4 linked regions of the Saccharomyces cerevisiae S288C genome follow. Changing the gene in region 1 together with any one later gene gives a genetic interaction. Each region holds a gene or a part of one and is shown in the gene's direction. Other genes may lie near its edges.

Region 1 (3,915 bases):
TGTTGTGGCGCAACCCAGAAATCAAATCTTTAGGGATAGTATTCACCACCGATAACATTAACAATGTTTATGGCTGGAGACTACAACAGGAGCATGAACTAATATCAAAGGTCGGAAAGGGGATGACCGACGAACAAGTGCATGCTTTTGTGGATAGATACATGCCCTCCTATAAACTTTATTTGAACGACTTTGTCCGGAGTGAAAGTTTAGGTTCCATTGCTACATTGACGTTAGGAATCGACTCCAACAGGAATGTATATTCTACGAAAACGAGATGTATTGAATAGTGATGTTATGACCTTTTTTTTTACGCCTTTTTTTTTTTTTTTTTTTTTTTTAATTTATCTCACTTTTCCCTTCTATTTTATGTACTAACAGATAATTTTATAATGATTTCATGTATTTTTGGTTCAGAATTTTGACAAGGCAACTCTTGAATAATTGTCGTATGCAAAAAAAATTGTTTATCTGTTACATATCCATCATAAAACTTTTATAGAGCTTTTATTGTCCTTCTTATACAAATACCGTTCAGAGGCTGTCCGAGATTTAAGCGGTTTTGGAAAAATTACTGCTATTAATTAAGATTAAAAAGGAAAGGAAAATAGCAATGGGAGCTTATCGCATAAAAAAATGAACAATAATGTTGAAGAACTCCTACGGCGTATTCCCCTCTACAACAAATATGGTAAGGATTTTCCACAAGAAACAGTGACTAGGTTTCAGATGCCTGAATTTAAGTTACCAGCGCTACAACCAACAAGGGACTTATTATGCCCTTGGTACGAAGAATGTGACAATATCACCAAAGTCTGTCAGTTACATGATTCTTCTAATAAGAAATTCGATCAGTGGTACAAGGAGCAATATCTGAGTAAAAAACCACCGGGAATTGTTGGAAACACACTATTATCTCCATCAAGAAAGGATAATTCCTAGTTAAATTGCATTTCGATATCTATGTACACATATACAGCAATTTTTTTTTATAAACCTTAGTAATATTATCAGTTTTCATTTTATGTCATTTGACCTTTGTTGCATTTAAATGGCCTTAACTTCTTTTAACTTTTCAATCAATTCATCCACAGAATTCAATTTCACACCAGGTGACTTAGTCTTTGGCTCTTCCATCGACACTATCTTTAACTGAGGTTCAATATTAATTTCAGGAAAATCTTTTGCTATATCCAATTTTTCAATAGGCTTTTTCTTCGCCTTCATTAGTTTGGGCAGTCCTACGTAACGCGGAGTGTTCAATCTCAAATCTGTAGTAATAACCATTGGTAAGGAAGCTTCAATTACTTCTTCTCCATCGTCAATTTCTCTTGTTACCTGAACTCTACCATTATCAAGGAATTCCACCTTTGCCGCATTTGTTGCCTGTGGCCAATTTAATAAACCTGCCAACATCTGACCGGTGTTGTTACAGTCATCATCAATGGCTTGCTTTCCCATCAAAACCAGATTAGAACCCTTCTTTTCAACAACAGCTTTTAAGATTTTAGCAATTGCTAAGGGCTCTATGTTTTCTTTACCCACAGAGTCAATTAAACTACAGGTGTCTATTCCCTTAGCAAGGCAATTTCTTAGAATATCCTGAGCTTTGGCGGAGCCAATAGAAACTGCATGCGTAGATTCTACTAAACTCTTGTTCTTTTCTTTAATTCTGATGGCTTCTTCGACAGCAATATCATCGAAAGGGTTGATACTGAATTTGATTCCACTGGTTTCAATCCCAGTTAAGGTCTTATTTACTCTAGGCTTGATCTGGAAATCAACTACCCTTTTCACCGGAACTAATATACGTAGTTGCTGTTTTGCAGACATTTTTATTACTCTTTCTGATACTTGATTATCGGGGTTATTGATCCTAGTGTGTCTTGACAACGTTTCTCGAATCAGGATTATTTTACACCGAGAAAGAAAGAGTCAATACTAATAATCTCGAAAGATCTTCAAGTGAAAAATAAAAAAAAATGATAAATAAAAAATAGAAACTATGAAACTATGTAAAAAAAAAACAAATAGACATATCCAAGCAAGTCCAATAGCATAGACATTAAGCACGACAGCTGTAAAAAATGTCAAAGTTTGTTATCACCTGCATAGCTCATGGAGAAAATCTCCCAAAAGAAACCATCGACCAGATTGCGAAAGAAATTACTGAAAGCTCGGCGAAAGATGTATCAATCAATGGTACCAAGAAACTATCGGCCAGAGCTACCGATATATTCATTGAAGTCGCAGGATCGATTGTTCAAAAAGACCTCAAGAATAAGCTGACGAACGTCATTGACAGTCATAATGATGTTGATGTTATTGTTTCTGTCGACAATGAATATCGTCAAGCCAAAAAGCTCTTTGTCTTTGACATGGATTCAACATTAATCTACCAAGAGGTCATCGAATTGATTGCCGCTTATGCTGGTGTTGAAGAACAAGTGCACGAGATCACAGAAAGAGCCATGAACAATGAACTTGATTTCAAAGAGTCTTTAAGAGAACGCGTTAAATTATTGCAAGGCCTCCAAGTCGATACACTATATGATGAAATAAAACAAAAGCTAGAGGTCACCAAGGGTGTGCCAGAACTATGCAAGTTCCTTCACAAAAAAAATTGCAAGCTCGCTGTTTTAAGCGGTGGTTTTATTCAGTTTGCCGGTTTTATCAAGGATCAGTTAGGTTTAGATTTTTGTAAGGCAAACTTGTTGGAAGTTGACACTGATGGAAAATTAACCGGTAAAACACTGGGTCCTATCGTAGACGGACAGTGCAAGAGTGAAACCCTTCTGCAACTATGTAATGACTACAATGTTCCAGTTGAAGCAAGTTGTATGGTGGGTGACGGTGGTAACGACCTGCCAGCCATGGCTACCGCCGGGTTTGGGATCGCATGGAACGCCAAGCCAAAGGTGCAGAAAGCTGCACCTTGTAAGTTGAATACCAAGAGCATGACTGACATTTTATACATTCTTGGTTACACCGATGATGAAATATACAATAGACAATGAAGAAAATAATGATAGATAGATGTAATAGAGTTTCTTTTTAAAATTGTTTATTTAAACTGGTAAACATGATGTACTTTACGTAGCGTTAATATACCGGCAACTATACGTTGGAAGCAATAGCTTGCTTGATAGCAGCTGGGTTGGCACCGACGACTCTGGTAACCTCCTTACCGCCCTTGTAGAAGATTAGGGTAGGCATGGAAGAAACTTCAGCTTTTTGAGCAACATCTGAGACTTCATCAACATCCAACTTGTAAAAAGCAGCGTCAGAATATTGTTCTGCAAACTTTTCAATCATTGGTGCAATCATTTTACATGGCCCACACCATGTGGCAAAAAAGTCAACAACGACTAACTTGTCGCCAGATGCTAAAGCACTGTCGTATTCAGAAGCGGATTTTAATTGAGTGACCATTATTGATGTGTTATTTAAAGATATCGTAGACTCTCGTGTATGTGTGCGTGTATAATTCTTGCTAGACAACAAATAAAAACTGGTCCTCGTTATTCTCTTGTCAGCTTTTCATCCCCCGAATGGCTTTCTTATATACTGATATCCCTCTTTCGGCTGGCTGGAAACTGAACGCGCTTAGTAAGAAAAGAGCCACCTTGTAGGGAGCATCCTTTACTAAGAGTATAAACAATTACACATATACTTTGATGATTACTTAATATTCACTGGCACTCAAGTTATGCTGATCTTGGAGCGATCTTGAAGCCGAGTATGTCATTCTTACCGGGCTCAACAAGACTTTCTTCACTGACTCTCACGCCGCCAACGGTTTCAATGCTTGCAATGGTGACCTCGCCACCCATGATATACCTGGCAACTTTGCCAACAGGGGTTCCTCGCTTGACCAAAAAACAATCTCTAAATACGTTGGTTCCGTTGCCACCC
Region 2 (3,589 bases), on another chromosome or scaffold:
TTTCATATCAGGCGCAGAGGGTGATAGATTCTTGAACGTATATGATATTCATTCCGGTATGACCAAATGCGTCCTTGTGGCTGAATCAGATATCAAGGAGTTATCTCATTCAGGCCAAGCCGATTCTATCGCAGTCACTACCGAGGATGGTAGCTTGGAAATTTTTGTTGATCCATTGGTATCGAGTTCAACAAAGAAAAGAGGCAACAAGTCCAAAAAATCCAGCAAAAAGATTCAAATCGTCAGTAAAGACGGCAGGAAAGTTCCAATTTATAACGCATTTATTAATAAAGACCTTTTGAACGTATCGTGGTTACAAAATGCTACTATGCCTTACTTCAAGAACTTGCAGTGGAGAGAAATCCCTAATGAATATACCGTCGAAATTTCCCTAAATTGGAATAATAAAAATAAGTCCGCCGATCGCGATCTACACGGTAAAGATCTTGCCTCAGCCACCAACTACGTGGAAGGTAATGCAAGAGTCACCTCTGGAGATAACTTCAAGCATGTTGATGACGCTATAAAGAGCTGGGAAAGAGAATTGACTTCTTTGGAACAAGAACAGGCCAAGCCCCCACAGGCCAATGAACTATTAACAGAAACATTTGGTGATAAGCTAGAATCAAGCACCGTCGCAAGGATTAGTGGGAAAAAAACAAATTTAAAAGGTTCCAATCTCAAGACTGCTACGACAACCGGGACGGTAACAGTAATTCTGTCGCAAGCACTACAATCAAATGATCATTCACTGTTGGAAACAGTGCTCAATAATCGTGACGAGAGGGTCATTAGGGATACTATCTTCCGTCTGAAACCAGCACTGGCTGTCATTCTCTTAGAAAGGTTGGCAGAGAGGATTGCAAGACAAACCCACCGTCAAGGCCCATTGAATGTTTGGGTAAAATGGTGTTTAATCATACACGGTGGCTATTTGGTTTCTATTCCAAATTTGATGTCTACTCTATCGTCGTTACATTCCACCTTGAAAAGGCGTTCCGACTTATTACCAAGGCTACTAGCACTGGATGCAAGGTTAGACTGTACTATAAATAAATTCAAAACTTTGAACTATGAAGCAGGCGACATCCACTCATCCGAACCAGTTGTCGAAGAGGACGAAGACGACGTTGAATATAACGAAGAACTCGATGATGCCGGCCTTATAGAGGACGGTGAAGAATCTTATGGCAGTGAAGAAGAAGAAGAAGGTGATAGTGACAACGAAGAGGAACAGAAGCATACCTCATCTAAGCAAGATGGCCGTTTAGAAACGGAGCAGAGCGACGGCGAGGAGGAAGCCGGATATAGTGACGTTGAGATGGAATAGAGGATATCATGCATAAAATGCTTTCACGCATCAGAATACAAAAATAATCTCTAGGCACATAAATACTTATATAGAGTTCACCACATAATGTAAGAAAAGAAAAAAGAAAAAAAAAGATCACGAAAGTATCCCACGCGAAGAAGATCTGTCAAAAGACCCCCACAATCGTTTATCCTTTTTGAACTGCATCTGGCATCGTTAACAGTAAGGCCATCTGGAACATCAAGCAAGCACTCCACTTTTACGTCACAACCATAGTTGGTTAACTAAGAAAAGACAGTACATATTTCCCTTCCGAGTCACTTATTTTTTTTTTCTTCTGAAAAAATTAATTAGATTAATTTCAATTAATATCATTTCCGCTTATCTGACTTCTTTCATTTTTTTTCTCTATATTTCGCGTTTACTAGGAAAGAAAAGGAAAAAAAATTTTTCCCCCTCCATCTGTCCCAAATCGGGTAGCGATGAGCTGCTATAGAATTTTCTATTTAAACATGTTTGATAAGCCCAATTTCCGTTAGATTTTGTTCCCCCTTCGCAGTTTGGTTTGCCGTAACTTTTTTATTTTAGTCTCCATCTAGCTGGAGTAATACGATGTAGTGCCTTGTAATCTTTCTTATTTTTATATTACCGTTCGTGTTCATTATATCCATTACGTTCCCATAATGTCGGCAAACGATAAGCAATACATCTCGTACAACAACGTACATCAACTATGTCAAGTATCCGCTGAGAGAATTAAGAATTTCAAGCCGGACTTAATCATTGCCATTGGTGGTGGTGGTTTCATTCCTGCTAGGATCCTACGTACGTTCCTAAAGGAGCCCGGCGTGCCAACCATCAGAATTTTTGCTATTATTTTGTCTTTGTACGAAGATTTGAACAGTGTAGGCTCAGAAGTTGAGGAAGTTGGTGTTAAGGTTAGCAGAACACAATGGATTGATTACGAGCAATGTAAATTAGATCTAGTCGGCAAGAACGTTCTTATCGTTGACGAAGTCGATGACACCCGTACCACACTTCATTACGCTTTGAGTGAATTGGAAAAGGATGCAGCTGAACAGGCAAAGGCTAAAGGTATCGATACTGAAAAGTCTCCAGAGATGAAAACAAACTTCGGGATTTTTGTTCTACACGATAAGCAAAAACCAAAGAAAGCAGATTTGCCTGCCGAAATGTTGAATGACAAGAACCGTTATTTTGCAGCTAAAACTGTTCCAGACAAGTGGTATGCATATCCATGGGAATCTACTGACATTGTTTTCCATACTAGAATGGCTATTGAACAGGGCAATGACATCTTTATTCCTGAGCAGGAACACAAGCAATGATAGACATATCATATCCTTCAGTAACTTGAATCATACAGCAGAATTTGTACAATAGACAACGCATATAACTGCGACCATATGTATACGTATAACTAATTATTATCTCAAAGTTTATTCCCTTAGCCTCACCGGTAACCTGTGAGGCGCGATTACGTTTTCCCTCTGTTCACCACCACGTAACGCGATATTTGACACATACGTGACAACTACTTTTGATGGAATCTGCTGATTTTTTTACCTCACGAAACTTATTAAAACAGATAATTTCCCTCATCTGCAAGGTTGGGGAAGGGTTGGACAGCAATAACCAGCGACTGTTTGAAGAAAAGATGACTGTTAGTAAAATACCCATATGGCTAGATTGTGATCCTGGTCATGATGATGCCATAGCCATTTTATTAGGCTGTTTCCATCCAGCTTTCAATCTTCTAGGAATCAGCACGTGTTTTGGTAACGCACCGCCAGAGAATACTGACTACAACGCCCGTTCTCTTTTGACTGCGATGGGCAAAGCACAAGCGATTCCAGTTTATAAAGGCGCACAGAGACCTTGGAAAAGGGAACCTCATTATGCTCCTGACATTCATGGTATATCAGGTTTAGACGGCACTTCTTTGCTACCTAAGCCAACATTTGAGGCAAGAACTGATAAAACGTATATTGAGGCCATTGAAGAGGCGATTCTAGCTAACAATGGAGAGATATCCTTTGTGTCTACTGGTGCACTTACCACATTAGCAACAGTTTTTAGGTGTAAACCATACCTAAAAAAATCTGTCAAATATATTAGCATTATGGGGGGTGGACTCCATGGTCTAGGAAACTGTAACCCAAATCTTTCTGCTGAATTCAACGTTTGGATTGATCCTGACGCAGCGAATTACATATTCCGTGATCCCGATGTAAAGGACAAATGTATAGTAGTTCC
Region 3 (4,596 bases), on another chromosome or scaffold:
GCTTACGACTACGCTCCCCCGCTAGGTTCCCTTTAGGCCGTCATTTTCTACTGAGCCAAGGCGATTCTGGTAGTTACTCGCGCTTGGTCCCCTACCAACGAGTCGCCTGGTCGACGCTTCCTCCGTGTAATTTCGTGAGCCTAGGCGCAGAGGATATTATCTAGAAGGAATTGAAATATTATAGATTAATTACGCTTAGTGTTAAACGGTATTAACGTGTAGACTGCATAACAGAACAACCAAAGATGGCCCAACGTGTTACTTTCAGAAGAAGAAATCCATGTATGTTAAAGGCACACTTATAAATTACGAGAAATTCTGACGAGATGATGATTATTCAACTAAAAAAGAGCAAGAGAGGAGAGGATACCATGTCAGGGGTCCTAGTATAGTTATCAAAAGCAATTTACCCCGTTTTTGTAATCCACTATCAATAACTTATTCTGCGCGAAATATTGTGTCCAGAAATAATACAATATTAGTAGCAATGAGAAGAAAAACGATAGTTAATAAGAGCAGCCACTTTTAACCCTGATACTGACTAGAGCTAATAATCTCAATCTGTGTTACGAAAATTTCTTTTAAAGTTTTCTCGAACTCCTTCCTATTGAAACATTTCGTACTAACATATTTTTCAAATGAGAAAGTATACCAACTTTCTGAAAACATTTTCAAATAGACAACACCCGTTCTAACAAAATCAAGGTTGTTAAGACCCCAGGTGGTATTTTGCGTGCCCAACATGTCAAGAAGTTAGCTACCAGACCAAAGTGTGGTGACTGTGGTAGCGCTTTGCAAGGTATCTCTACTTTGAGACCAAGACAATACGCCACTGTTTCCAAGACCCACAAGACTGTTTCCAGAGCTTACGGTGGTTCCAGATGTGCCAACTGTGTTAAGGAAAGAATTATTAGAGCTTTCTTGATCGAAGAACAAAAAATTGTCAAGAAGGTTGTCAAGGAACAAACCGAAGCTGCCAAGAAATCTGAAAAGAAGGCTAAGAAATAAACTTTAAGAAAATGTTACTTTTCTTATGTACCTAATTAACTGTTTTATATAAAGCACGAATAAAAATAATTCATATCACAAGAAAACTTTCATGGCTCTAGCGCTCTATGAATAATGCTTTTTGTAATGTTGTCGAGCTACTATTTCTTCATTAATCATCGTCATCCATAGCCATGGGAATTTAGTAGTCAATCGCCTGTCCAACTGTAGACGACGTAACTCTGCTATAAAAAAGACCTGTTCATATTTTATTTTTTTTTTTTCATGTGCCACGAACAATTTAATGTATGGGAATACAACTGCAAAAGAAAAAATCAAAAAAAGAAATCACACACCACAAACACCAAACATTATGCCAGAAGCTTTCGCCAAATCCTGCGTCGATTAATTTAATGTGAACACCACCTCAGATCTAACACTGATGAAAAGCCTTACAAATCTCAACACATCTTTTCCTTTATGAAGAAGAGTGCCTTGCACAACCATACATACAGGAACTTGATAAAGCCTACAGATAAAATCCAAGTGGAAAGTAAACAAAAAATCCTAGAGAATGCTCGCTGAAAAAAAAAAAGATGTCAAGACAGATTACGTCGTAAATTCAGCCACTTTCAACCAAGTTTCCGTAATCATATTAATTTCTGAAATTAATTAATCTAACGTATCTCATATCTTTTTTAAGTGATTTACCTGTGGAGAACAGCAAAGAGGTCATCCAAGACAGAAAATCGATGGATACTGGTCTTATTCGGTCAAAGTGACTGCAATACTCCTCTGCGGATTTGCTTAGTGTTAGAAAATCGAGCGGCATGTTTTCTTTTGTCACCAATGGAACGGCCTCAAGGAACTAAATATCAGTCGATTTTATCGCCTTTCCCGAGTGGGGGGCGTATTCGTACAAATTGACTCTTTTTCAGAAATGTCTGCCGCCCGCGTTCGGTCATTAATGCACAGCTTTATCGCGATTGCCATTGACTTCTACGTACATATAGTTGCTACGTCTTCGCCTTATCAATAAATAATTATGAGTCTTTAATTTCTTTTTTTTCATTGTCAGAATTTTTCATGTCCTTTTTTTTTTTTTTTTCTCGATGATCAAGATGTTAGGGAACCAACCAAGATAATGGTTTTAATATAAATATCCATTAAAAATATTTAGACAGTAAAATAGTGGTGAGTCTAAAACGCGTTGGAGGCATTTTTCTTTGAAATGTAGATAAGTAAGCTTAACTGTAATAGTATTCACAACAATATCCATATAAATTTCGCATATAAAACATCCTATCCTCTATTATAACGATTTATAAGAATGTTGGAAGAGGGAAATAATGTTTACGAAATCCAAGACTTGGAGAAGAGATCTCCTGTAATAGGCTCAAGCTTGGAAAACGAAAAGAAGGTAGCCGCTTCTGAAACTTTCACAGCAACTTCCGAAGATGACCAACAGTATATCGTTGAATCATCAGAGGCCACAAAATTATCGTGGTTCCATAAGTTCTTTGCCAGTTTGAATGCAGAAACAAAGGGTGTTGAACCAGTTACAGAGGATGAAAAAACGGACGATTCCATACTGAATGCTGCGTCCATGTGGTTTTCAGCTAATATGGTCATTGCATCATATGCTTTGGGTGCCTTAGGACCCATGGTGTTCGGTCTAAATTTTGGTCAAAGTGTTTTAGTTATCATATTTTTCAATATAATGGGGTTGATATTTGTTGCGTTCTTTTCTGTCTTTGGTGCAGAACTGGGCTTAAGACAGATGATTTTATCAAGATATCTGGTTGGTAATGTAACGGCAAGAATTTTCTCTCTTATTAACGTTATTGCTTGTGTCGGTTGGGGTATTGTGAATACCTCAGTATCCGCACAACTGCTGAATATGGTGAATGAAGGCTCCGGCCACGTCTGTCCTATTTGGGCCGGTTGTCTGATCATTATTGGTGGTACCGTGCTTGTGACTTTTTTTGGTTACAGTGTCATTCATGCATACGAGAAATGGTCATGGGTACCCAATTTTGCCGTCTTTTTGGTTATTATTGCCCAACTATCGAGATCAGGAAAGTTTAAAGGTGGTGAATGGGTAGGAGGTGCAACTACTGCAGGTAGTGTTCTTTCTTTTGGTTCATCTATTTTCGGTTTTGCCGCAGGATGGACGACCTATGCAGCTGACTACACTGTTTATATGCCAAAGAGTACAAACAAGTACAAGATTTTTTTCTCCCTAGTTGCTGGTCTAGCGTTCCCTCTATTTTTCACCATGATTCTTGGTGCTGCTTCTGCTATGGCTGCTCTTAATGACCCAACCTGGAAGGCATATTATGACAAAAATGCTATGGGTGGTGTCATATATGCTATCCTGGTTCCTAACTCTCTGAACGGATTTGGTCAATTCTGCTGCGTTTTGTTAGCTCTGTCCACTATTGCAAATAATATTCCAAATATGTATACTGTTGCTTTATCCGCTCAAGCTTTGTGGGCACCTTTGGCTAAAATACCAAGAGTAGTCTGGACAATGGCAGGTAATGCTGCCACTTTAGGTATTTCCATCCCTGCTACCTATTACTTTGATGGCTTTATGGAGAATTTCATGGATTCTATCGGTTACTACTTAGCTATTTACATTGCCATCTCATGTTCAGAACATTTCTTCTACAGACGTTCCTTCAGTGCTTACAATATTGATGATTGGGATAATTGGGAGCATCTACCTATCGGTATCGCAGGTACTGCTGCCTTAATTGTTGGTGCCTTCGGTGTTGCATTGGGTATGTGTCAAACCTATTGGGTTGGTGAAATTGGCCGCTTAATTGGTAAATATGGTGGTGACATTGGGTTCGAGTTGGGTGCAAGTTGGGCCTTCATCATCTACAACATCTTAAGACCTTTAGAATTAAAATACTTCGGTCGTTAGGAAGTAATGATTAGGGCGATCATTTCCCCGTGCACATTTCACGTCATGTATCATAGATGCAATTTCATGTAAACTATTTAGACATCTCATTTAATAAAAATAGCTACAAACTGTATTTTACAATATTAGTAACATATCAAAGATAATCTCTATGGTATATACAAAACTTCAAAAATGCCAAGACAATTTGCACGGCTGCGACCTAATTGAGACTTTGTGGCCTGCATATCAGTCTTACAATAAAAGCCAAAAAGAAAAAAAAAAAGTAAGAATGCACAGGTGACTAGTGGTTATGTGACTATGTGAACGTAAAGAGAACGAGATGTAACCCGGCAACCCGGCTAGAGAGGTTGTTTAGCATGCGAGGTATTAGACTCCTTGTCAAAAAATTAATTAAAATATTTATTAGTTAATTTATTAGTTGCAAAGTCATTGATAACAGCGTGACTCTTCCCGGAAATTCTTTCATTTCGGCATTTCGAAGCGAGACCGCAAAACACGTGTACGCACGTAGCCAACGATTGAAAAAAAAAGCTTCCAAGTGAGTCACCTCTACCGTTGGAACTTATAAAATATTTTTGCAGAATATACTCGCCTGAAAGTCCATTTATACGCAGTGAACTGCAAGTATTTACCGTCTAAACTTTGGCATTTTACTCCTATTAACGGTTTGAATC
Region 4 (3,861 bases), on another chromosome or scaffold:
CTCAGCAGAACAAATCGCTTCAGTTTAATCAGAAGAATAATGGGCGTCTTAATGAGTCACCTCTACAGGGTACCAACAAGCCAGGTATTAGTGAGGCTTTTATATCCAATGTTAATGCTATTTCACAAGAAAACATGGCGAATATGCAAAGGTTCATAAACGGAGAACCACTGATCGATGATAAAAGAAGAATGGAAATAGGGCCATCCTCAGGCAGGCTTCCACCTTTTTCAAACGTACATTCTCTACAGACTTCAGCAAACCCAACCCAAATTAAGGGAGTGAACGATATATCTCATTGGTCACAGGAATTTCAAGGTAGTAATAGTATTCAAAATAGAAACGCGGATACAGGAAATTCAGAAAAGGCATGGCAGCGTGGCTCAACAACCGCATCAAGCCGGTTTCAGTACCCTAATACCATGATGAATAACTATGCTTATGCTTCTATGAACAGTCTTAGTGGATCAAGGCTCCAATCGCCTGCTTTCATGAATCAACAACAGTCTGGTCGTTCTAAAGAAGGAGTCAATGAGCAAGAACAACAACCCTGGACAGATCAGTTTGAAAAGCTGGAAAAAGAAGTCTCAGAAAACTTGGACATAAATGATGAAATAGAGAAGGAGGAAAATGTGAGTGAAGTAGAACAAAACAAACCAGAAACTGTTGAGAAGGAAGAAGGAGTATATGGAGATCAGTATCAATCTGATTTCCAAGAAGTGTGGGATAGCATACACAAGGACGCTGAAGAAGTCTTGCCATCCGAATTAGTTAATGATGACCTCAATCTAGGAGAAGACTACTTGAAATATCTCGGCGGTAGAGTAAATGGGAACATCGAGTATGCTTTTCAATCTAACAACGAATATTTTAATAATCCTAATGCTTATAAAATTGGCTGCCTACTGATGGAAAACGGAGCCAAATTGAGCGAGGCAGCGCTAGCATTTGAAGCTGCTGTTAAAGAAAAACCGGACCATGTGGATGCATGGCTAAGATTGGGTCTAGTACAAACCCAGAATGAAAAAGAGTTGAACGGCATAAGCGCCCTCGAAGAATGTTTAAAGTTAGACCCAAAGAATCTGGAGGCAATGAAAACTTTAGCGATAAGTTATATAAACGAAGGTTATGATATGAGCGCCTTCACAATGCTGGATAAATGGGCAGAAACTAAGTACCCGGAAATTTGGTCAAGGATCAAGCAACAAGATGACAAATTTCAAAAAGAGAAAGGGTTTACCCATATTGATATGAACGCTCATATCACAAAGCAATTTTTGCAACTAGCAAACAATTTAAGCACAATAGATCCTGAAATACAACTATGCTTGGGTCTCTTATTTTACACGAAAGATGATTTTGACAAAACCATAGATTGCTTTGAAAGTGCGTTGAGGGTGAATCCTAATGACGAACTCATGTGGAATAGATTAGGGGCTTCATTGGCCAATTCCAATAGATCAGAGGAAGCAATCCAAGCCTATCATAGGGCACTACAACTAAAACCTTCTTTTGTTAGAGCTCGCTATAATCTGGCGGTATCATCCATGAATATAGGCTGTTTCAAAGAAGCAGCAGGCTACTTATTAAGTGTTCTAAGTATGCATGAAGTGAACACTAATAATAAAAAAGGAGACGTTGGATCTCTCTTGAATACGTACAATGATACTGTTATAGAGACTTTGAAGAGAGTTTTTATAGCGATGAATAGAGATGATTTACTTCAAGAAGTGAAGCCAGGCATGGACCTGAAAAGATTTAAAGGAGAATTTTCGTTTTGATATGGTTCTCCGCAATTTTATGTTCTCGCATCACTGCCCAAATTCATTAGCATTAGCAGTACAAGCTATCCTATATATAAGGCAATAAAAAATCTTATAAATACTATCAGCAAGATTTCAACCTTGGAAAACATGCATTCAAAGGTCATAATTGCTGCTCTATTTACAGTCGTCCATAATGACATTTCTCTTTGATTATTTTCTTGTTTTTTCGCTCTTCTCAAGTGGATGTTACATAACAAACAAAACAGAAAAAATTGTTTAAATATAAAGTTTAAAAGTTATCTTTGATTCCGCACCTGAATTTTTGGATTGAAGGCCAAAGGAGGTTTATCAGGGAGAGAAAAGCTCTCTATTTATTTTTATAAGGAATAATTGTGCATGTACAACTATACAATATGTCTAGTGTACCTTATAATTCCCAACTTCCTATATCCAACCATCTAGAGTACGATGAAGATGAAAAGAAGAGCAGAGGCTCAAAACTAGGCCTGAAATATAAAATGATATACTGGAGGAAAACTTTATGCAGTTCGCTAGCGAGATGGAGAAAGCTAATACTATTAATATCTTTAGCTTTGTTTTTATTCATATGGATAAGCGATTCCACCATAAGCAGAAATCCATCTACCACAAGTTTTCAAGGCCAAAATAGTAACGATAATAAGTTGAGTAATACTGGTTCTAGCATCAACTCCAAAAGATATGTACCACCATATTCTAAGAGATCAAGATGGTCGTTTTGGAATCAAGATCCTAGGATTGTCATTATATTAGCGGCAAACGAAGGTGGTGGTGTATTGAGGTGGAAAAATGAGCAAGAATGGGCTATCGAAGGCATATCAATAGAAAATAAGAAGGCCTATGCGAAGAGACATGGATATGCGTTGACTATCAAGGATTTGACAACGTCCAAAAGATACTCTCACGAATACAGAGAGGGTTGGCAAAAAGTAGATATATTGAGACAGACGTTCAGGGAGTTTCCTAATGCAGAATGGTTCTGGTGGTTGGACCTGGATACTATGATAATGGAGCCTTCTAAATCATTAGAAGAACATATTTTCGACAGATTGGAAACTCTGGCTGACAGAGAATTGAAAAGTTTTAATCCCCTAAACCTAAGAGACGACATACCCTATGTCGATTATTCAGAGGAAATGGAGTTTCTAATAACACAAGATTGTGGAGGCTTCAATTTGGGCTCATTTCTGATAAAAAATAGCGAATGGTCTAAGCTGCTTCTAGATATGTGGTGGGACCCCGTTCTGTATGAACAAAAACATATGGTTTGGGAACATAGAGAACAAGATGCGTTAGAGGCATTATATGAAAACGAACCGTGGATTCGTTCGAGAATAGGATTTTTGCCCTTAAGAACGATCAATGCATTCCCACCGGGAGCATGCTCTGAATACAGTGGTGACTCAAGATACTTTTACAGTGAGAAAGACCATGATTTTGTTGTGAATATGGCCGGATGCAATTTTGGCAGAGATTGCTGGGGCGAGATGCAGTACTACACCACTTTAATGGAAAAACTGAATAGGAAATGGTACACGAGATTTTTCTTCCCATAAAATGGAAGTTATCAATATTGTAAAGAGAAGCATTTACAAGCTTTTATTTTTCTTTTTAATTTCCACTACTGGTTCTGCTTTAAAATGTTGTTTTATAATTTATGTACATTTAGGCCTATAGAAGATTCTTTCAATAATATGCTACACATTCTTTTATTTTTCCATCATATGTTGGAGTTTATGCCTCCTCGGCAGGAGTTGGGCGGTGCGAAGAGAAGAAAAAGAGTGAAACTAAAAAAAGGAATCTGCCTTTGCATAAGTTCAAAAGTGCAATTTTAGTGTTGGATTTAAACGGGAAAAATTGAAATGGCCATCGAAACAATACTTGTAATAAACAAATCAGGCGGACTAATCTATCAGCGGAATTTTACCAACGACGAACAGAAATTGAACAGCAATGAATACTTAATTCTTGCTAGTACACTGCACGGTGTATTCGCCATCGCGAGCCAGCTGACTCCGAAGGCATTACAGCTAACTCAACAAACGAACATCGAAAA

What was found.
Region 2: mutations in SER2 (region 1) and HPT1 together harm fitness more than expected from each alone (negative genetic interaction), as found in Saccharomyces cerevisiae (3 studies listed by BioGRID).
Region 3: mutations in SER2 (region 1) and FCY2 together harm fitness more than expected from each alone (negative genetic interaction), as found in Saccharomyces cerevisiae (3 studies listed by BioGRID).
Region 4: mutations in SER2 (region 1) and MNN10 together harm fitness more than expected from each alone (negative genetic interaction), as found in Saccharomyces cerevisiae (4 studies listed by BioGRID).

What each region holds. Positions count from the first base shown.
Region 1 is NC_001139.9:909,796-913,710, forward strand, and holds SER2 (phosphoserine phosphatase), read left to right. Parts: upstream 1-2,087; coding exon 2,088-3,017; downstream 3,018-3,915. Other genes in the region: TDA10 (putative ATP-dependent kinase), read left to right, coding at 1-290; ubiquitin-binding ESCRT-I subunit protein MVB12, read left to right, coding at 637-942; CIR1 (Cir1p), read right to left, coding at 1,048-1,833; thioredoxin TRX2, read right to left, coding at 3,118-3,432; YGR210C (uncharacterized protein), read right to left, coding at 3,708-3,915.
Region 2 is NC_001136.10:1,268,073-1,271,661, forward strand, and holds HPT1 (hypoxanthine phosphoribosyltransferase), read left to right. Parts: upstream 1-1,995; coding exon 1,996-2,661; downstream 2,662-3,589. Other genes in the region: UTP5 (Utp5p), read left to right, coding at 1-1,330; URH1 (trifunctional uridine nucleosidase/nicotinamide riboside hydrolase/nicotinic acid riboside hydrolase), read left to right, coding at 2,991-3,589. UniProt on the Saccharomyces cerevisiae protein: Converts guanine to guanosine monophosphate, and hypoxanthine to inosine monophosphate. Transfers the 5-phosphoribosyl group from 5-phosphoribosylpyrophosphate onto the purine.
Region 3 is NC_001137.3:265,835-270,430, reverse strand, and holds FCY2 (purine-cytosine permease), read left to right. Parts: upstream 1-2,317; coding exon 2,318-3,919; downstream 3,920-4,596. Other genes in the region: 60S ribosomal protein eL34 RPL34A, read left to right, coding at 246-282, 680-1,008. UniProt on the Saccharomyces cerevisiae protein: This permease has a broad specificity towards purines, and also transport cytosine and 5-methylcytosine but neither uracil nor thymine.
Region 4 is NC_001136.10:950,621-954,481, forward strand, and holds MNN10 (alpha-1,6-mannosyltransferase), read left to right. Parts: upstream 1-2,179; coding exon 2,180-3,361; downstream 3,362-3,861. Other genes in the region: PEX5 (Pex5p), read left to right, coding at 1-1,781; TRAPP subunit TRS23, read left to right, coding at 3,668-3,861. UniProt on the Saccharomyces cerevisiae protein: Required for polarized growth and efficient budding. The M-Pol II complex possesses alpha-1,6-mannosyltransferase activity and is probably involved in the elongation of the mannan backbone of N-linked glycans on cell wall and periplasmic proteins.